3 linked regions of the Drosophila melanogaster genome follow. The protein of the gene in region 2 purifies or fractionates together with the protein of the main gene of each other region. This does not show direct contact. Each region holds a gene or a part of one and is shown on either strand. Other genes may lie near its edges.

Region 1 (6,623 bases), on a different chromosome or scaffold from region 2:
CTTCCGCGAGGAGATGCTCGAGTTCGCCCAGTTCTGGAACTACAGGAGCTGCCTCTACCTGCCGCATCAGCAGTGTGACTCCTCCGCTTGCCAGGAGGCGGGCCACTGTGCCCAGCAGTGCCCTCAGCTCCGGGACAATCTACGCTACAAGGAGACGGCAAAGGTGTCCCGATTAGATGCCACCGAACTGGCCACCCACCTCAATCCCGCGATTCCCGGACAGCGTGTCCTCATCGTGGCTGGAGATTCAAGTTTTCAAAAGAACATCGCCCAAATAGCAACACAATCATTGGACGTAGATCCGGCAAACATTTATATGTTGTAAATGCCGGGAAAAACTGTAGTTGCTTATAAATATTTGAATATTGTTAATGAATTTGTGATCGTACTGGTTATACCGAGGGTTTTATATTTTTTATACCCTAGATTCGTTGAAAAGTATGTAACAGACAGAAGATATACATATATTCTAGATCTGGATCAATAGCCGAGTTGTTCTGGCCATGTCCGTCTGTCCGTATGAACGTCGAGATCTTAGGTACTATAAATGCTAGAAGGCTATCACGCCCACTCTAACGCCCACAAACCGCACAAAACTGCCACGACCACACTTTTAATAAATGTGTTGATATTTTTTCACATTTTGATTAGTCTTCATTAATTTCTATCGACTTGCAAACAACGTTTTGCTACGTCCACTCGAACGCCCAAAACTGCCACGCCCACATTTTTGAAATATTTTTAAATTATTTTATAAGTCGTGTAAGTTTCTATCGATTTAAAAAAAACTTTGGCACGCCCACTCTAACGCCCTAAAACCGCCCAAACCTGCCGCGCCCACATTTTTGAAATTTTTTTTGGATATTTTTTAATAATTTTATTAGTCGTGTAAATTTCTATCGATTTACAATTTTTTTTTTGCCACACCCAGTCTAACGCCCTAAAGCGGCCATAACTGCCACGCCCACACTTTTGAACAATTTTTATTCCCCAATATCTATCGATATACCAGAAAAATTCAGAAATTTCGCGTTCGCATTCACACTAGCTGAGTAAAGGGTATCTGATAGTCGGGGAACTTGACTATAGCATTCTCTCTAGTTGGCATTTGAAACTTTTACATGTTTTCTATACTTCCAATTAAGCATTTGAGTGTACCGAAAATGGAATGTGTACTTCCATAAAGGAGGAGGAGTTCACTTCTTCATCATCAGTAATACAGGTAACTCCAACTACTTCTACTGTTTTGCCCACACTTGCTACTTTTAATTGGTTATAGGGCATCTATACTTATCGCTGCTAAATGAACATATGGTTTTGGCCATCCAGGTGGCTCTTCAATCCATTTCGCTGTCGGCAAATCATTTACTTTGTTAAAATCTGAGCATTGCAGTTGCAATTCTCATACCAAATGTATCGATCGGGATTTAATTGTCTTTAAAAAAGCCGACTGGTTTTCGCTGTAATTAATACAATTGAGCGTCTGGTTATTCACTGGATGAATCGAAAGGAAACATTATGAATCCAATTGCCATTAAACATTCTCTATGGTCATCTTTTTATTTGACCTCCTGTGTCCACAACATGGTTATGATTCCATTTGACTATTAGTGATCCAATCTAATTCAAGTCATACCAAGTGGATGATATTTTAGGAATCAACCCAATTGGTGTTCAGATTGGAATAATCTGAACACCAATTTGAACATACCCTGTACCTTGATTTTGAGAAACAAATGTGTTTGTGCCTTAACAATTCGTTATTTCGAAACATTCTTTACAAAATAATTTGAATTACTTACAAACAATAAAAAGGATAATTTTATTTTGAAGCAAACTTATTGTTACAAGACAAAAACGAAAAAAAAAATAAAGTAATTTAACTTAAATACTGTGAGTTGATTCAAGATCTTTTAACATTTTCTTCATGGATGGATAATGATAATGGATAAAGTCAATTTGGAGATCTGCTCCAGTTATATTATAAATCCTCGGGCTTCGGAGGTTTTTTCAGTCCTGTAGCTTCAGGCTCTTAATGTAGTCAATGAGTAGCTTGGGGTGCACATGTTTGATCTCCTGAACAGGCACGGCTTCCCCCCACTTGGATCCCTTCCAGGTGACAATGAAGTAGACCGTGTCACCAAGCATATAGCTGTACATAACATTCTCAATTGCTTTGCCGCGGACCAGGAGCGCATCCGTAGGCGGCACGTTCAACGGTTGGGACTCATTGGAATTGCCGCCATCGAGATTCCCTGACACGCTGCCACCGTTGGTTGCATCCAGTTCTGCCTGTTGTACCAACAACTCGACGAGCAGCCGAGCCAGCTCTGCCCGAGCCGAATTGTGAACTCCCATGTGCTTTGGAGGCGGCGTCGAACCGGCCTCCTTGGATTCATCCTTTGTCGGCTCTTCCTGCACTTCCTCCTGCTGATCGTTCTCCTTCTGCTGATCGTTCTCCTTCTGCTGATCGTTCTCCTTCTGCTTTTCCTCCTCCGCGGGGAAACCACCTGTGTTCTTGTTGTTGGGGCTGTTTTCTTTGTCCGCCATCGTTTAGCAATAAAGTTCTCTTGCAAAAGTAAACCAAATGAATTCACGTGCAATCGTTAAATGAAAAATGGCGGCAAGTTTCCGATTGCTGAAGCTGCCAGCTAGTGCGAATTGCATTTATTAAAAAAAAAAAAAAAATGAATAAGACATTAATATTTTCAAACTCTGGCAACGCCCTAGATTCAAATCATAGGTTGGTTTTCGGCCAAGCGTCCAGTGCGTCTAAAACTATGTTATCTGACTTTTCTGGCGATTGCTTAAGTTCCGGTGGCGGGCCCATCAAGTGGGCATATTTGGCCAGATACGGAGTAAGCAGCTCCATGGGCAGAGGAAAGATAATGGTGGAGTTCTTCTCGGCGGAGATGCTGCTCAGGGTTTGCAAGTAGCGCAGCTGTGATGACAGAAAAATTCGAATGGCTGGTAATCCGTGCTCAACGATTGATTTCAGCTTTTACTAGGACAACACCCACCTGCAAGGCCGATGGACTGGCGGAAATGACATCGGATGCCTCCTTGAGCGCTGTGGCGGACTTCTTCTCACCCTCGGCGGCGATCACCTTGGCACGAGCATCACGAGCTGCCTCCGCTTCGGCGGCCATGGCACGCTGCATGGAAACGGGCAGGGAGACATCCTTGCTGTCAGCGGGTGAAGTGCATACAACGTACAGATGTTAAGAAATACTGATCTGATCTGATGGATGTCAAATGCCTACTAAATGGCTACTTACATCTCAACGCGCTCCACCATGACGCCCCACGGCTCGGTGGCCTCGTCCAACGTGGCCTGCATATTGTGGGCCAGGGTTTCGCGCTCGGTTAGCAGTTCGGACAGGTTGCGAGTGCCGACGATATTTCGGAGCGTGGTGGCCGCCAGGAGGCGAGTGGACATGCTGTAGTCCTCGACCTGGATGACCGCATAAAGGGGATCACTGATGCGATAGTAGACAACGGCGTCCACAGTGACCGTCACGGAATCCTTCGTCAGCATCTCCTGCTGCGGCACATTGAAGGTAACCGTGCGCAGGTCCACCTTGCGGTACTCATCGATGCACGGCAGGATGAAGAACATGCCGGGACCACGAGCTCCGCCGCTCAGTCTGCCCAGCCGGAAGATGATCGCCCGCTCGTACTCCGCCACCACCTTGAAGCATATGAAGATGGCGATGGGCGATGTGATGATGAAGATCAGCACGGAGAACAGGGTGACCACCCATTCCATGCAGCCCTTGGGCTCGTTCTCCGCTGCAATGGGATGTTAGGAATATGAATATGAAATATTCATCTACAAAATGGCCATATTTCAGGCATATGTGTACAATAATTGTGCCGCAAGAGAAACGTAGATAAGTCCACTTCAATTCGATGGCCAAGATGAAGTACCTTCTTTGTCCGGATTCCGAAGAGACCAACTTATTATTAAGTAAAACAGGACTATGATGGACTATGTAACAACTTGAAAAAGAGAAAGCTGTGAAAAGCAATAGCCATCACAATCAAAAAAAAGAAAACACGGATAAACACCAATCAGCCCGCTTATCTTGGAGTCCAATAAAAATTCCTACGATTAAAAATATAGACAGGTGTAATATATATGCGCCAATACAATTAGAATGTTGTAGCAATTGACGATTATGTGGGATTACGATGGAAATCAAATTGCTACTAGTACTACTTTGATAAAGCGAGAGATAGTTTGTATTTTTAGAACTCCTATCTAGTGAATACTATTAACCGAATCAAGCGGTTTTGCATGTCTGAAATATTGTAGAATGCTTTGAGCCAAAAACAAACTTTTCACGCGATCAAAATGCTGTTGCAATCTTATCTGAACCAGCGATTCCAAGAAATCGTATCTCAATCGATCTAAAGTGATTAGCGCTTGACAGTAAGCAAAGACTTGTTTTTTTTTAACAATAATAATTCTCCTAATATTGGCCGGGATGGGTCATCATCTTGCTGCATCTATAGTATACACCGTTTCCGCCCGCTTACAAGTTTTGAATCCACGATACTGCTGCGTGGTGCCGGGCACTCGAAGTGCCGGCTCGGGTGCCATGCCGGCGGCGCCCATGTTGACCATGTACGCCGTGGAGCTGGCCGGCCCAGAGTTGCGCATATCTTCGTAGTTGGCGTACACGGGCGAATCCTGGTGCGGCTCCATTGCTGTTTCTCTGCTCCGTTCTGGCCTACGTTCGTTGCTCTCCGATCGGCTATGGATTCGAAACTGTCGCCAGCGGTCAGCGCCGCAAAAGCCAAACTGAATGCCCAAAAGCGTTCTCACGTGATAAGAGCGCACTGGTTCTCTCAGATACGAAGTATCGCATTGGCATTATCGCTACGCTGAGCTGCCGAGCGGCTTAAATGCGATTCAACAGTGAGAGAAAAGAAGCACTGCACTGAAACACCACGAACCAAGTGTGCCGCCACTGAAAGAGGCGATCTCTAGTCCGTACATCCTCCACAGCAATTGAGCACATGCCATATAAGAGAATGTAATGGAATGGAATGTAAATGCATCGGCTCGTAAATTTTCGTTCAGTGTAGTGTATCTACGACCGGGGAAACACCAAGAGCCGCTCTGTAAGTCGAGAGCCATGGGTCACCACGGATGATTCACTGCACTGCGCCGAAAGAATTGCCAACTGGAGGCGTACACTTTCAGATTATTCCGACCGACGATCAATGAAAGCCGAGTAAGCTCTATCTGGCCCAAGTGCGTTTAGCACTTTAATCAATCGGTTATCTCAGCTGGAGCATTGAGACGCAGTTCTGCTTTGGGGTCACGGGTCATTGGCTGGAGCCACCCGATGGTGACTCAATTCTGATCTGGCGGTCACATTAGCACTGAAGAGCTTATCTGCCACACTCGCTGAAGTGGCATGCAAATCTGAGTTATTTAGATAAGCGAAGAGCAAATATGTACATACATATATATATATCATATATAAATGTAAATTTTGTTGTTTCGAAAAAGGGGGAAGAACTGAAAAAAAAAATGTGTTTTCTGAATCATTTGGTTTATTTAAATGGTTAGCTTTTACCCTGGTTTGTAGTTAGCTATTGTTATTAATTCTTAAGATACAAACAAATAATATTGGTTATTTTAAATATAACGTCTCTACTTAAAACGACTGTGAATGAAGAAGGAAAAGCCTTGGAAAAGCCTCAGTTACTATTGCATACTAAATTCGACATATTAGAATAAATTCTAAAAAAAAAAAATTTATTTTTAAGTCCGAACCATGTTTGAATCTCTCCAGAATCTAGGGAATTCCATGGCACTTTCATTCGAATTCATTGGTGACTCATTTTCCGGATTTTCCGGACAGTTCCGCTTTCTGTCGCTGCTGCCGCCGTTCCACTAGAGCAAGAAACCCACGATGTCGTCATCGTCATCCGCCGCTCCCGCTGCAGCCGCTCCGCTTCGCTGTTGCTTCTGCTGACGCTGCAGCTCGCAGCGATGCAGTGCCTCCAGATATGGTTGCAGCACCGACATCGAGCGTCACTGGTGGTGTTGGTGCGGGTGTCGATGGAGTGGCGTGCCAGGAGCCGCAGGATGTTGTTGTTGTTGGTGCTGATGCTGCTGCTGTTGCTGTTGCAGCTGCTGCTGGTGTTGCAGTTGCAGCTGCTGCGAGTGTGCTTGGGTATTCAGGAAGGGCGTGAGCAGCTCCATGGGCAGCGGGAAGATGATGGTCGAATTCTTCTCGGTTGAAATGCTGCTCAGTGTTTGCAAGTATCGCAACTAAGTAGAGAAGAAGATGGAACGAATGAAACCATTTGGGCCAGTTCCAAATGTCCGATGGTTGGATTCAGATGGAAGAAGATGACTCACCTGCAGGGCGGATGGACTGGCCGAGATGATCTCGGAAGCCTCGCGCAGAGCCCTCGACGACTTCATCTCGCCCTCGGCGGCAATGACCTTGGCCCGCGCCTCCCTCGCTGCCTCCGCCTCGGCGGCCATCGCCCGCTGGAGGGCAGTTGGCAAGGATACGTCCTTGCTGCAAGCGGATCATGGATAGAGTGGATCATGTCATGATCACATCACGACTTTCGGCAGTTGGCTACTCACATCT
Region 2 (9,082 bases):
CACGACCCACCGGGTAGCTGATAGGACGCACTAGAGTAAGTACCTGAGGCTGGGCTCCGGCGGCAAAGAGTTTGCCCACATTGGTGAGGAAGAACTCAACGTTGTTCTCGTGTCCGCGCTTCACCAAGCTCAGATTGGTGGCATCAGGACCCAGGGCGCGCTTGAGGATAGCCTGGAGCAGGCCGTGGGGAGCAATCTCCACGGAAATGGCGTTCTTGGGAACGTGCTGAAGGGCCTCGTGGAAGAGCACTGGCGACAGCAGATTGTTCACGTGGTAGGCGGCCGAGGATTGCTTGGCCACCGGTGTGTTCCAAGCGGATTCTGGGATGCTGGTACTGATCCAGCGGGCGGTACGGTTCTTAGCGTTGGGAATGATCTTCTCCAGACTCTTGCGTAGTTTGGGTCCAGCTTCAGCGATGTACTTGCTGTGGAAAGCGTAGCCGGATGAGTTCACTGCCTTGGCGAACACTCCCTCCGCGTTCAGTTTAGCGACCAGAGCCTCGATGGAAGCCTCCGGGCCAGAGATGGTGCAGTTGTCCTCGCTGTTGTGGCACACCGGGAAGCAATCGCTGGGCACACGGCTGTGCGCATCTTCCCAGCTCAATCCCACAGCGGCCATCTTGCCCTTGGCCAGTTGAGTGTCCAGAATGCTCTTTCCTCGCCAGTAAGCAGCCAGCACGGTCTGCTCCGGGGTGAAGCAGCCATCGGCGTAGGCGCATCCAAGCTCTCCCACCGAGTGTCCCACAATTCCGTCGGGGTGGATGCCCAGCGAGCTGAGCAAATCGGTAAGAGCCACTTGCATGGCAGCAATCGAGATGAAAGAGTTCAGAATGTTTTCGAAGCTCTTGTCCGTGGAACGGGTCAGGACATCGATTAGATCCACTCCCTCGGGCTTTAGGACATCGGCACACCTCTGAATGGTCTTGGCGAAGGCCTCGATCTTCATCAGATCCTTGGCCATGCTAGCCCACTGGCTGCCCATGCCGGAGTAGATGTACCAAATAGGGCGTTTATCGTCGTTGGACTCGATCACCTCACGTTGGTGGGTGCCCTTGCTGCTCACCACTCCGTAGCCACGGAAGAAGTGATTCGGAATAGCCTTTGAGTGGATCTCGTTGATCAGTTGCAGGTACTCATCATCATCGGCATTAGTAGAGGCGGACTCGAGCAACTGCTCCACAGCCTCAAAGGTGCGTCCAGAGGCGAGGACCACTTTCAGTGCTCCATCCTTGGGGGTCAAAGCCTTGGGCTTGGGGTTCGACTTTAAGATAACGTGAGCGTTGGCTCCTCCAAAACCAAAGGAGTTCAGGCCGATGATGCCACCGTTCCAAGGCAGATTCCTGTCGACCACCTTGAGACGTCCATCAACGAGTCCATAAAGATCTGGGTTCGGCTTGTTGTAGTGCAAGTTACCGGGAATGACGCCCTCCTCCATGGCGATCAGAATCTTGGCCACAGAGCAGACACCGGAAGCGGGTTCCGAGTGACCCATGTTGGACTTGACCGATCCGATCAACAGAGGGGTCGTACGGTCCTTGCAGAAGAAGTCAGTGATAGAGTTCACCTCCTGGGGATCGCCCACCTTGGTTCCGGTACCGTGTGCCTCCACGTAAACCACATCGGCGGGGTTAAGACCAATCTCCTCGTAGGTCTCGCGGATCAGGCGATTTTGCATCTTGCCAATAGGGTATGTGATGCCCTGCTCCTTGAAACCATCCGTATTGGTGCGCACATTGAGGATGGAGGCATACACACGCCTGGCTGCAGAGGTGCGCTGCAGGAGCAGCACCACACATCCATCGGAACGGACGTATCCATTGCCAGACTCATCGAAGGCCTTGCAGCTGCCGTCCGGGCTCAACATATTCAGTCGCTTGAACTGCAGCGACATGGTGGGCTTGAGGATCAGTCCAGCTCCAGCGACCAGGGCGTTGTCGACCTTTCCTTCGCGCATATCGGAGAAAGCCTGTTCCAAGGCGTACAGAGAACTGGAGCAAGCGGTGTCAATGCTGTAGCTGGGTCCCTTGAAATCAAAGGTGAAGGAGATGCGGTTGGCAAACATGGCACGGGCACATCCTGTCAAGCCGTAGCCGTTAACCCGGTCAGCATCGCTGCACCAGTGCTGCTCAGTCTCCGAGTTGGACACACCGATGTACACACCAGTGCGGGAACCGCGCAGATCACTTGGGTTTAGGCCAGCGTCAATAATAGCTTCATGGGTGAGCTCGAGCAGCATGCGCAGCAGTGGGTCCATGCACTCAGCCTGCTTTTGGTGCACACCGAAGAACTGTTGGTCAAAGTTCTCCAGATCGCTATCCTTGAGCTTGCCAATCCTGTCGGGAAGTCCATACAGACCTGGAACGAAGGTTGTTAACACATTAGATTGTAACTACTCAAAAGAATGCTATTCCTTATGAGAAGTCCATTGGTAGTTGATCTTACCACGCTCCCAACGGCGGGGATCATCGTTGACCATGTCGACGCCGTCGAAAAGATTCTGCTTGAACTCCTCGATGGTGGAGCTCTCCGGCAGACGGCCGGAGAAACCGGTGATGGCGATCTCATCGTTGAGGTGCTGCTGACGGGGCACATAGTGACCACCACCCAGGTCCAATTGGGGGGCGGCACGTTGTGCGGGCTCAGCGGTGATGACTTCCTCGGCGAATCGGGCGGGCATATTGATGGATTCGGGATTGAATTGGGAGTTTAGGTGGTCCTGTCTATCGTTGGGTGCAGAGTGCGGGGTGGACGAGGAGGTGCTCGGTGTTAGCTGCGCGTCGGTATCACGGAAGGCGTCAGGTTGCTGCGAATTCTGCTGCTGCTTGTTGCGTCTGCGGCGTCGACGACGATTGGCGCGAGCGCTCTTTCCGTTGTTCTGGGTGCTGGGTGAATGTTGGGGCTGATGGGTGCTGCAATTGTTGGGCTTGAAAGCAACAGGATGCGGCTGGTCCACGGCTTGCAACAGGTTTAGTTGTAGGGGCTGCAATTGGAGAAGAGGATGCGAAAGTCTTGTTAGTATAACTCATTTCGTGTATTAAATATTTTAAAATTGTGATCATTCTGCCGCATCTGCAACTTGTCTGCCACCCCTCGCTGTTAAGCAAAAGCTCTTTACCACCCGCAAGCGCAGAGCTTTCGCTCTCTGGAGCGGGATGCCGGGCGATTAGGTTTTTTGTTTGAATGTTCAGCTGGTGGAAAGTTGGTGTAGAAATTGCAAATCAGGTGATGCCGCGCAGTCGGAGCTTTGACCGCGCATATACCGGCACACAGCATTATTTGTTATGGGCGGCTTGCTGCTTTGAAGCCAGCGACTGGGTTGACAGTTAACAGCAACTTGTGGCAGTCGCGTTAACAGTGCAACACCATTCGCGTTAACATAGGCCGCACACACTCACACTGAGCCAACGCGAACGGCAAGCTGCTTTCTTATTCGCCGAGAAACTCGTACGATGTGCGAAATCGAATGATTCAACAAAAGAAGGGAAACTATATAATGAGCGGAGCTGGCGGAGTCGGTTTAAGCTGAAATCTGGGGAAGCCGAAAGCGTCGTTAGAAGAGGAAGAGCGAGAACATGAGCGGTCAGCAACACAGAACAAATAAACAATACACTCAGAACAAAACGAAATACGAATCGTGCAGCCGTAGTTTCTTTGAAATTCAAATGTTATTGATCATATAAATATGGAACCATACTTACAGGAACCATTTTCATATAATAAACCTATTTTTCCGCGTGTAGCCACTACAAATTGCCGGTAAAAATCGGGCGACTCAGCAGCAAGCTTATCTATCAAATGGCCGTTGGCTTGGCCAGACTTCTATGTTTATGTTTTGCTATTGTAATAGGCATCCGAATCGGAGGTGGGTGCCAAAGAGAGCGGCGTATAGTCAAGACGCAGCCCCAAAAGTCCCCACCGCCATGTGTGTGTACATACACACACACACACACAGACACACGAGCTCGACGCGTGTACCATTTGTTTAGTGAGATAAGGTGGCGTGATTTCTCAAGTTCATTGAAGTATTATTTTCATAGTCTCTCCAGATCGGTTGATCTACCGGTGAATAAACTCGCAATGCGATGGTGAGAACTATCCTTTTACAGCAATTGAACGGGCGTATATTGATTTATCGATGGCCCCCGCCCCCAATCGATCCATCCATCATCAGGCCATATTGCGAAAGTTGCGTCATTGGATATGTAAACACGGGTGACAAACATAGCCCCCTCCCCTTTCCACTCTAAACTGTGTTTGTTTATGCACTCGGTTCCATTCCCGCAGCCATCGATTGGGGCCCAAAGTACTGCTGTACGCGTCAGCACAGCCCCCGCCCAAAAACCCACATCCCCAGCCCAGCAAATCGAATCTGCCTGTGACGCTTCAAGTTCATGAACAAGATGATAACGTCTCTGACTGAGACTAGGCCATGGGGCGATTCCGAAACGGCCTGGTGGTGATAAGAGTGATAAGGCAGCGCTGCCTACTCATACGACTGTGCACCTGTATCGGAAATGTTTGATCGGCGGCGGACGCGTGTTCTTCAGGAAGCGACGACTCTATTAGCCGATAAAGATTAGCCAGACACTCGAAATTTTCCAATCACACAATCGCACGATTCTTGTTTGTTTTTGGCTGCGGAATTGGGGCGTGTGGCCGCCTTTATGGGTTGCTGGGTGTTGTTGTTTTATGCAAAGCGATCGCTTGATAACTCACTTTCAACTTTTTGAGCATTCAGCTGGTAGAGCTAAGCAATTTCTGAAAAGTATTTTACTTTAGGTGCTTAACTTTTGAATTTGATTTTGTATTTAAGCAAACAACTTATTGTTATTGCAACATTTATCACTGCAATTTCAAATGTAATAATAGTAAAATTTATAATATTTGTTTGTTTGCTTGACTTTAGCTAAATACGCAGATAGATTTCCCTATTTTCGTATTAAAAGCAATTTCAAATTTCATTTTTAGTAACTGTCTTAATGGCTGTGCAGTTAGCATGGTTGTAAAATAATGAAAATGGCACACGCAACCGGAAAATTGTTGGATTTGTCATTTCAGAAGGTTTGGGTTCGTTGCAAAAATGGCACTGGACTTATTTACATGGGAATATTTAGCAAGGATTTCCGAATTGCAAAAGGACTATAACGATGTCTGCCAAGGAAATCGTAGAAATTAAGCAGCTCTTGCATGGCAATTAGAAAGGGAAACCCTATCGCGAAGCCCCTACTATATGGAGCAGACGAGAGGAGACTGGGACTTGGACTTCCCCCCACCGCCGCCCGCACATCTTGCAATTAGCGTGTAATTTGGTGTCTCAGCGCAGCAGGAACTGCTGTTTTGGGGGGCGTTTGGAGTAGTAGAACAACACTTCTATGGGTCCTAAAGGTCAAAAGCACTGGAGAGCAAGTGCGAACTTAGTAATTCGTATTTTTAGTCGACTTGACGAATGATCACTTGGAGACGCTCGATCTAACCATTTTTCTCCTATTTTTTTCACACTTTTCCGTTGTTTCTGCTTTTTTTCTTATTTTCGTTAGCAATTCACTTTTTGTCCAGCGAAAATTTCGTTTTCATTTTCTCCTCAGCACACCAGCACACACACACACGCAAATTTGAACAGGGGCTGTTTTATTCCTGCGGCTGCCATTTTTTGTACATACCTAGAAATCAGGCGATTCCTCGACAGCTGTTTTTCGAGTTCTTGGAGTGGAGCGGGCGGAGGGCTGCGCGGAGGATTCGAATTCAGTTTCGTGGGGGGTGTTCCTTTACAGTTGGTCCTGACTGAATGGGGAAACCGTTATAATCCAGAAACTGAAACTGCTTTCGACTCGAAGTTCTCCGTTGACTGCCGTTATTAGCTTAGTTAGTAGCTATTAGTTTTTGAAAATTACTCTGCCACACACAGTTATGTTCTTTGGGATTCAAACGTAGCGTACCGGCTTGTAAAACCACGACAACGACGGAATGCTGCGACGAACGGAAATGCGAGAATCAGGTGAGCGCCGGCCTTTTTATATGACGCCCGCCGCCTCCAAGAAGAGCTTTTGGAGAGCTTCTCGCTGCGCTGCTCTCTCGCGCTGTTAAAAGTTAACCGTAGCACGATGCCCTTCCCCTACAGAGGGTACTTCGAATTCGGTCCGCCGCTTGGGCTGACATCCTCGACCTTACCTCGTAGACCTGATTGATAAGCCGCTGTTTACCGGCGATCTACTCACGGATCTACGATTTCATTTGATCATTCACAATCTACCTGAAATCCATTACTTGTACTTTTCGCTTATTAAGCTTAAAAGTGATTGGTTATTGATCAATTAGATTGAATGGTTTTTAATATTTATAGCACCTATTAAAACATATGTGGGTTCAATGAAAATATGTATAAATATTATTGCTAGTGTCAAAAAGGAAAATTCTTATTTAATTAACCGAATTGAATTAGTTATTATTTCAAAAAGGTCCTAGTTTAAGCAGACTGCGTAAAATTTTTTCAGCAGCAGGGTGTTTTTAATTCGGATTTCCAAAGCCACTGTTATTGGTGTAAACTTCTGTTATTGTTGCTGGACTCTGTGCGGCGCTTAAATTCGCATTAACAGCGATAAGTGGTCAGCTGTTGTGTGCGTGACGGAGATGTAGAAATTTTGATTTGCCCGCCATAGTCGGACCACTTTTTCGTCGATTATTAATCGTCTGGCGAGATCACTAGCGCGATAGAGTGGGCGGCATTATCAATTATGGAAAGGTACGCCGAAGTCGGGTCAATAAAGCCAGCCAGCACGGGTCAGAATGTTCGGATCGTAGTGATTCATCGTGGAAATCATGCGAGTACCACGCGAGTAAAACTGGAAACACGAGCGAACTTCTCCGATCGTTTATAAGCCAATTACTTTGTGAGAAATGCCTCGCGATAGTATACATTTGGAAAATTATCTTGTATTAGACAATGTTCTGATTAGTGAAGTTCGACCGTACTGAATGCGTTCATTATTCTTAAACAATCAATGCGCGATTGCTACGTGTATTGATAGGATTAGGGTATATGTACATTAAGTTCTACAGGATAATTCATCAGCATAATCGTACGAACTACTTCCCTTCCACTAGGGACGCTTCCGCAGGACGCGCTCGATGATCTGTAGAGTGTGCGGCTCCTTGAGGAAGGTCCTGTGTGTACCCTCCACCACATGCATGTCGATCTGGGCACTGCAAATCTGCAAGGATTGGAGGGAAATGGTCATTAAATAATGCTATAGATAGGTTTTATAGGCACTTACCTCCTTGAGGCCATAGTCCTGGGCCATAATCGCATTGTGCTCGGCCGACTTGATCAAGACCACATCGCTGTGGAGCTGCTTGGCGCCCTTGTAGCTCTCAGAAAGTAGCAGCTTCTGTTTGAACATGCAGGCGGCCTTCTTGATCTGTGACAATGTTCAAATAATATGGTAGGTTAGGTCTATAAAAACAATATAATGCAACAATATGTTTTTAAGTGCCTCACGCTAATTGCGAAGAATACGGACCATAATAATACACTAACTATTTGTCCGGCACTTTTAGAAGGCACTTTTTCTCGTCTGTTAAAAAGTACACACTTGTAATAAATACTACTTGAAATTATAAACACACACATAAGTGTAAGCAAATGCATCAACTTAGTCTACAAGTACTATAGTTAAGCCAGTACTTAATCATCAATCAAATAGATAGATGTTCAACAAATGCTTACGCTTTTATGGTGGTTTGGAAATCTAATTGACACATATATTATTAAGCAATATTGTAATTAGAATCGCTAGAGACCCACCACTTCTCTGGTTTGCTGCGTGTAACCAGCCAGAGTGTCTGCTAGTTTGTCGAGCTTGGAGGGCCATGTCTGGACTCCATCGAGGAGTTGCAGTAGCTGTAAGGATCAATATATTTATAAGAATGGTTTATAGGATCAAGCACAACAAGGAACATGGAACCACCTGGTTGTAATCCACGTCGGCGAGCAGAGCTCCAAAGTAGGCCAACGTCATGGACTGCTGCCGGTTGAGGTCGTCCGTCTGCTTCTTGGCCTCCTGGACATAGCCGCTGGCCATGGTGGGCGCTCCGTCCAGCATGATGACCTTGACCCCGAAGCGGCGCTGCTCCAGCGCCACAGCAATGGCGTGGGCGAGCAGGCAGCCGTAGGAGTAGCCTACGATGTGGTACGGTCCGAGGGGCTGGAGCTTCTGGATCTGGCGCAGATAGTAGGCGGCACAGGCCTCGATGGAGTCCAGGGGCACTTGCTCCGTGCACTGCAGCCCGTAGGCGGGGCAGGTGAGCGAGGCGGCCAGCGCCTCCACGGCTATTGTGAATCCCTCGATGGGAGCCAAGAAGAACACAGCCGGATCCTCGCTGGCCACGGGCGCCTTTGACCGAAGGCGCACCATCACCTCCTGGGGTAATACTTCCTTGGCGAATACCTTGCGCGTCTCATCGCTCTGGGGCTGGACCTCCACGCAGGCCTCCTCCTTGATCCTTGATAGGGTGGAAGAGGCTGAGGGCGATGAGACTGAAGCGGAGGGCGGTTCCTGGGCGTCTATCTGGCGCAGGGCGCTAAAGGTTAGCTGGCGGATCTCCTGGGCGCTCAGCACCAGGTCAAAGTGACGCTCCAACGTCTGCTTGATCTCTGTGCTCATCAGCGAGTCCATGCCAAGATCGAAGAGGGTGGTCTTATCGGAGACACTCTTTACATCCCTCAGTCCCATGATATTCGCGATCGTGGCTATCAAGCTCAGCCGGTTGGCCTGCTCCGTCTTGCGTTTTTCCGCCACCACCATGGAGGCCATGACGGGATGGGGCTGCTGCAGAAATAGGTCCAGAGTCTCCAGACAGCTGATCATCCGCTGCGGCAGAGTGCCGCCCACAACTGTTTCGTTGTTGCCCATGTGCTCGATGATCAGTCCGGTGTCCCCAATTGCTCCCCATTGAATCGCTGTGCCCGGATAACCATATTCCTGCCGCTGCTCGCATATCCTTTCCATCGTGGAGTTCGCCAGTCCATAGTTGGTCTGTCCCATGTTTCCCCTGCCGCAGGACAAGCTGGAGAAGCACACGAAGT
Region 3 (6,938 bases), on a different chromosome or scaffold from region 2:
TTGTATTTTTAGTACAAATATACAATTTTAAAGGTATCGTAAAATTGGTTTTGGCAAAAATCTGAAAATGTAACTAAAAACATTCCCTTTAGGTAAGTGTTACCGTTTCAATAAAGGTTATATCGTATGGGTATATGGTTTTAATAATAGATTACTTGAAGGTCGCAGCGATCAGCCTTTTACTTCACATTTGTCATATATCAAACCCAATATGAAGTAGTATCAACTTTGGACTTTGATAAATTTATTCTTAAAAATTAATTAACTGTCTTTTTCTTATCACAGTACTTGTTTTTTTATCCTTAGAACGAAATTCATAAGTTATAGTCCAAGGCTCTTAATTATTATGGTTTCGTACCGCAAAAAAACTTGTGGTTAAAAGGCTTGATAATTTAACACATTGGCATATTTAAACCATAAATCGGAGGAGTTAAATCAAACCAAAACGTTATCATTGTCAGCATGAGAAAGTTCAAGTACCAAAATAAGCGGCACGTGTATAATACTGTTTTGGCTTTGACACCTTAAACGCAGCGACTAACGAATACTCTTCTTCGAACATAACCAATAGTAATCTTGTATCGACCTATAGGCACCATAGAAGAGTGTAATCCCCACGAAGGCAGAGTATTAAAGTTTAATTCCCGCCTTTGGAGCTGATAAGATATGGTACGTCCAGTAATTGGGAATGACTGGCCGGTTTTGCACCATTGGCCTGATAGCTTATAAAAGATTTCCATTCAGACGGAGGCGTGGCCCTCTTATCAGCTCACCAATACGCTAAAATCGCCCAGCAGCGTGTGGAATCTTTTTGGAGGTGGTAGTTAATCCAATAGGTTGATAGATTTCTTCAATCTTATCTCCAAGCTTTAATGGTTTTCAATTGCTTCTTTGGTAGCAAAGTTTATTGAAATGAGGAGCCTTCGAGATAGATTGGCAAATATATATATTATAAACATGAGATCGAAATAAATAATCGATTATAAGCCCCACTAGCACATTCTTTCGGCCGCAGATACCCTACACTTCCTCAGTGCAGCATTATCGGGCATACGATAGTACATATATCTATATCTGTATTTTACACATATATGTATGTTTATGTTTCTGCCGACGCTCATACACAACATCATTCTTGTTGGCCCCTTTTTGATTCTTTCTGTCTGGTGATAAGACTGCCCAGGTTTGTTATGGCCACAATCGCGCGTGCCGCAATATAAAAATAAAAATCTCAAAACCACCGATATACACGTGTCTACCTATATATATATACGCCATACACATATACACACCGGCAAGATCAGTTTTTTAGCGAGGGAGCGCGAGAATCTGCTCACTGAGCCGATGATACTGGCGATAATTGGGAGCGTAGGCGGGCTCCCGCTCCTCTCTTCTCCTCTTCTCTCCTCTCACTCACTCGTATCAGCGCCAGATCTGGACATCCATTGGGAGTCGTACGATTCCTCTGACTCGTAGACCCACCGGCTGTTCATATAATAAGTTCCACGCGTCCGATCCCGACGCCCAGACCATTCGAATTCACTTCACTGTTGCGACACAGCGAAGCAACAACAAGCTCATAATGTTCTGAAAGTTTCCACGAGCATAATAGATCCATATCAGGGTTGTTTCGTTTCCATTTTTCATCCGTGGGCATTGTGGAAACAAAGAAGTATATCCTATTATAATATATTATGAAAATAAAGGATTTAATTGCAAGGACATGTAAAAGGAATCTTAGCGATTAGACATCATTAAGAAGGTTACTTTATTTTCAGTAGGCTATTTTCATTCGATTATTCATCAGTCATAATCAAAATTTTAAGTTTCAAATTATCTTATGGCCGCCTTTTATAAATTACAGCTCTTCTAAATTATCTTTATGGTACGAAAAGTCAAGTAAGTCTATAAAATTTGGTGGAGTTTTCAGGCTTTCGAGACCTGTGCCATTTTGGGGCTCGGTGCACAGCTGTTGCTCTCTCCGCCCGCCTTCCCCTCTCTCCTCCTCCAAGGAACCAATGTCAAAAGAAAGTTCTCCGGTGCGACCGGCAAAAACAGCTTTGCGCTAGGCCAAAGTTCGTTGATGTTCCAGTCTCTTTACTGGGTGACATTGGGGTATATCAGATCCGTGCTAAGTGGGTAACAGCTAGATGAAAGCCTTAGTGATTTCCATACGAATTTCATAGTGTCATTTTAAACTTAGCCTTTCAATGTGTTGGATTAGAAGTGAGGCAAATAAAGATGCAATTCTGAGATTATAATATATAATTAATATATAAATATACTTTGTATAACTCAACTATCCTATGGAGATATTAATTGGGTATAGTTAGATTTTACGATTTATTACATGAAATGCCCACAATTCGTTAGCCAGATTTGATATGTTAGCTTTGGTAGCTAAGAGGTATCATAGATTCGATCCGCCCATTTCTATCGAGAACAAATCATTGCCGGCAGGGAGCACGCGCAGACATCGAAACTGCGAGAGGAGCCTCACAGATTGGGAGAGAACGTTAATGTTCCCATTGAAACCACCACGACCACTCTCCCACGGAACTAGTCGAAAGTTTCGAGTTTGTGCGCTCGACCAGTCCGACGGACAGCTTTGAAGTGAACGGTTCGCGAGTTCCTGGGCAGAAGAGAGAATCAGAGTGCAGCAGAGCAACCGTTTGCGAATTCGCGCTGTTCTACCTACATAGACCAAAACCAAACCAATTCCAAGCAAACCAAACCAAACGCAACCCCGAGACCAAACGCAAAAAAAAGAGGCCGGCAAGTTGACAAAACCTCGCGCACATAGGATACATAGGAACCGTGAATTTGTATGTGCTGAGCGCGGTACATAAGCTAAAGAAACCACGTTGACTCACGACCCGTTTGAAATTGTTTTGTAGTGCTGGAGCAGCGATTACCCACTTTGCGCCAGGACAACGACAATAGGCGCAGAGCGCTCCTTCGGAACTTTCGCCATCAATAAGTAAGTCGCCGGTCGGTCGGCGGACTGCGTCTATCGATCAAGTGCATAGCCATTTAATTGCATAATTTGTGCTCAATTTCTTCTTCCACTCGGTTCGGCTGGTTTCTTTCCCCAGCCCTTTCTCGCCGTCCAACCATTGTAATTTGCCATCGTCACTCTCTGGCAGACATGTGTTAATTACATTTTATTCTATTCTATTCCATACCATGCCATACCATGCCATACCGCACCATACCATGTCGTAGCGTAGCATACCCCCATGCCCCCAAACACACACCCGTGCGATAGACACCATCCCAGAGAGGGAAATGTGGCTGTTTTATTTTCGGACTCATCCTACTTGCTGCCCAATATTTATGACCTTCTTATGGTTTCGCCATTGGGGAAACGTGTTTGTCGCACATAGATCCATAATCTATACGTAGTGTGCGCGATTACTCGGAAATTATCTACATATCGTGTGCAGTGTGATCAGGGATTGCGAACGGGGGTGATCCGAAATTTAACCAGTTTATGGGCACAGTTTGATTTGTTTGATTGCTATTGATTCGCCGGGACCGACAGGCCGTCACATATACTTGTATGGAGAGCTGGACCCGGACTAGTCAATGTCAAAGCTTCGTCTCTATCAGCTTTTCGTTTGGCGTGATAAGGTCTAGAGTCTAGACAGGCTGCTCAAGTAAATATAAGGTTTTCGAACGAATGTAAGATCTCTGTAACTTTTGCTGGCAAAGAGAGAGTTTTGTTAAAAAATAGAAGATCCTGGGCGACACGAGTTAATGGCCATAGACTTAATTTTCTAGCGAAAATATAATATAAAAAATAGAAGATCCTGGGCGTTCCATCTCCTTATCAATCATTGCTATTTATAGTTTTTCTTTTTAGTTCAGAATGCGGATTATATAACTTCACATCTGGAACTGAAATACTGAATGCAGTTTAAGAAAACAACTAGTAATCGGAAGTAGAAAAGTCCATCTATTCTTATTCTCACATTTTGGCGACAAAATCAATGTACGACCTACATTCAAAAGCGACTTTGACCTTAGCAGCTTGTCGTTCAAGATCATACGTTTGTGGAGCAAGAAAAATAAATAAAAATAAAATCATAGCACGCACATTTTCCTGTGCAAAAGTTGGTGAACAAAAGCAAAGCGTTCAAGTGACTGGGGCATTCCAGTACTATTAGTGTGTAGTTAGTTGGCTATCATGTTATTATTACATAATCGCCCATTCCGATGGGCAAACACAATCGGGCTTCGGGTGGGTTTTGGCTGAGTTTTGGTTGGGTTTTCGTATGCCGTGTCAACAACGTTTTCGTGTAATTGCATGAGATTGGCCCTGACAGCGCCCACTTTTCTTTCAGAAAATATGAGGCAACACACCCAGTCAACAAGCAACAGGATAATTGATAGCCTGCAAATATTGCCAGAAATACAGCACAAAAAAAGGTGCTGAAGCTATCCCAGAAATACCTGAAATAAACCCTGATTTGCATGCGAAAATACGTGTTATTTTCACATCATGCTAACCAATTGTAGACATGCATTCTTCACTTTATTCCGATGCTAATGCGCTTTAATTTTTAAATACAGCAGGGGAGCCAGTGATCCGGTCTTCAAATAGTTTAAATTCTAATTGAAACGTAAATAGATATAGATTCTTTATCGCAGATCGATATTTAAATTATTTATTGAAAATCCTTTTCATTCTTACGAAAGCGATAGGAGAAAAGCTTCCGATTATAATTTCCGCTTGCGGCTAAGATTAGATTTGCCACGTTTCACAGATACCAGTTTCAAAACTTTTATTAACCTAAAAATAAAGATTATTTCTAAACAACAGAGTGCTTTCTATCAACTCACAACGACTTCTTACTCCCCGTGTAACTTTTAGAGCAATGATGTTATAAAGCTTAAGGAAACTTATATTCTGATGTTATCAGGATTGAGTTTCAAAACTTCGAGCAGAGTATTTTAGGGATGTGGCTATCTTTTATCATTAATAGCATTCTTAAGGTCTGCGTGTCGAGTGCTTCTTCCGCTCCATAAGGTGACATTGGGCTTATCTTTCCAATAATACTACCAATGGGGTTTGAGCAACTTTGTTGGATCTAGTAATTTATAACACAATCGTGAGGTAATGCGGTGCAAATTAACAGAGTTAGCAAACAAAATTGATGCTAAGAGAGGAATATTTAATTAGAGTGGACCAAACTAAAGATTTCCATCACGTAGCGACTATTTATAGATCCCAAACAGGGGGGCCATATAGATGTGCACTCCCACTGGGAATGATAATATTTACCAGAGTCCGACCTCTGATGTGTTAATAAAGCGGGCTTATCGACTGGTCATTATCTGCACCTGTGTCACACATCAAATACATATGTCAACATGGGTTCTAGATTATCTATGGGCTCCTCGGACCACTGCGACCCCCTTTCATTGGGGCATGCACTTCACGTGCGGTTGCGAGGACCCCCACTTAATTGCAACTACTCATGGTAAACACTCCCTTTTGCTGGCCAAAAATAGAGGCGATAGGAGAATGGTTATCAAACCGATTATCGCGGGGTCAAGATTCCAAAAGATCTCCTTTGGATTTCGTTCACCTGACCAGTTCTCCTCTCTTCTGCTTTAGTTTCCATCGCACTTTAAGTAGGTTTCTGTCTGGCATAGAAAGTGGACTTTGCCAACTCGTTTTTGTGCAAGCAAAGACGAGCCCCCACAGAGGTCTACAGACTAGAAAGTACTCACTAGTTGAGTCCGATTTGAGTCCGGAATCTGAATTGCAAAGCCGGTCTCTGACGCACCCGTGCACCACTAAGCGTGTCCGTATGTCTCTATATGTCTGTCTGTCTGTTTCATCGCTGACGGGGGCTACAAAACCCATTTGAATCGCTGATAATGAGCAAAACACCCTAAAAGCTAACAGACATAAAATAAATAAAATATGTTATGGCATGTGCGGCATAAGCGAACTGACAACCAACGGACAGTGGATACTCTTCCCTTAAATTTGTTGCTCAAAATATGTAATCTTTAGTATGTACTCATTTTTTCCGTCTTAATATGACTAAGTATGTATGTACTAATCAATATAAGCTAACAGCTTTAAACAATAAGAATAAGCTTAGAAAACTTTTACATATATCTATAAACTACAAGTGCACATATATACTAATGAATTGAGATGTGTATATGGATAATGATCTATCTATGTCTCTTTTATTACCTATCCACTGTTTATCCAAACGGTTAGATCCACTGAAAATATCCGATGAACTTCAAGTGCGAAAACGTGCTGCAGCAGTAGCAAATATTTGTTAATCTATTACTAAGCTAATATACGTAATGGTTGTAAAATAGGCAGTATTAATACTTCAATTAGGGGAATTTTTCGGAGTTTACAAGCAAAACGCATAAGAAAACACAAGCTGAAAAGCTGGCATTTAATTGTACAAGTTTGCCGTGCATTTTTAAAACCTGCTTTGAATTTTGATCACGTGAGTCAACTCATGTTAATGAGCAGACCGATTGTTCTGTTTAGTGGAATAACACCGAAGTACCAAGCGGTGGACTTTGGTCAGAAGATTATAATTGTACTTAGGCCAACAGATGCGGTCGGAATTTTAGAAACCCAGATTCCCAAGAGGGAACCACTCTTTACTTTCAAACAAAGTCCAGAATAAAAAAATGTACTCTACCTTTTTTTATATGGTATTAGCAGTCGTTGTAACCCGTCGTGTTCTTAAATTTCCAATTGCAATAACTTCAAAACGAGACCTTCTAGATCCGCTTGTTTGTTTGTTTGTTTTTTCGAAAGTAATGTCGATAACCTTAAGGCATTTGTGGCAATCGAGCTTTCGAAATTAACAGATAATTAACGCGTTTAATGCAATCTCTCAATCGTAAAGCAGAGCGTTCATTATTTCAAATATTGCCATTGATGATTT

The links.
Region 1: the proteins of FASN1 (region 2) and Mec2 purify together in Drosophila melanogaster (affinity purification with mass spectrometry, with the first as the bait; one large-scale study listed by BioGRID). This does not show direct contact.
Region 3: the proteins of FASN1 (region 2) and PCB purify together in Drosophila melanogaster (affinity purification with mass spectrometry, with the first as the bait; one large-scale study listed by BioGRID). This does not show direct contact.

The regions. Positions count from the first base shown.
Region 1 is NC_004354.4:19,186,203-19,192,825, reverse strand, and holds Mec2 (Mec2), read right to left. Parts: upstream 4,792-6,623; 5' UTR 4,712-4,791; coding exon 4,543-4,711; intron 3,793-4,542; coding exon 3,279-3,792; intron 3,187-3,278; coding exon 3,021-3,186; intron 2,942-3,020; coding exon 2,738-2,941; 3' UTR 2,633-2,737; downstream 1-2,632. Other genes in the region: CG7914 (uncharacterized protein), read left to right, coding at 1-325; HP1D3csd (heterochromatin protein 1D3 chromoshadow domain), read right to left, coding at 2,011-2,550; CG33253 (uncharacterized protein), read right to left, coding at 6,053-6,292, 6,383-6,548, 6,620-6,623.
Region 2 is NT_033779.5:3,053,503-3,062,584, reverse strand, and holds the start of FASN1 (fatty acid synthase 1), read right to left. Parts: upstream 5,597-9,082; 5' UTR 5,478-5,596; coding exon 5,475-5,477; intron 2,981-5,474; coding exon 2,443-2,980; intron 2,356-2,442; coding exon 1-2,355. Other genes in the region: FASN2 (fatty acid synthase 2), read right to left, coding at 7,098-7,208, 7,272-7,415, 7,802-7,897, 7,962-9,082.
Region 3 is NT_033778.4:9,856,412-9,863,349, reverse strand, and holds the start of PCB (pyruvate carboxylase), read left to right. Parts: upstream 1-1,806; 5' UTR 1,807-1,899; exon of another isoform or gene 1,900-2,205; intron 2,206-2,590; exon of another isoform or gene 2,591-2,980; intron 2,981-6,938.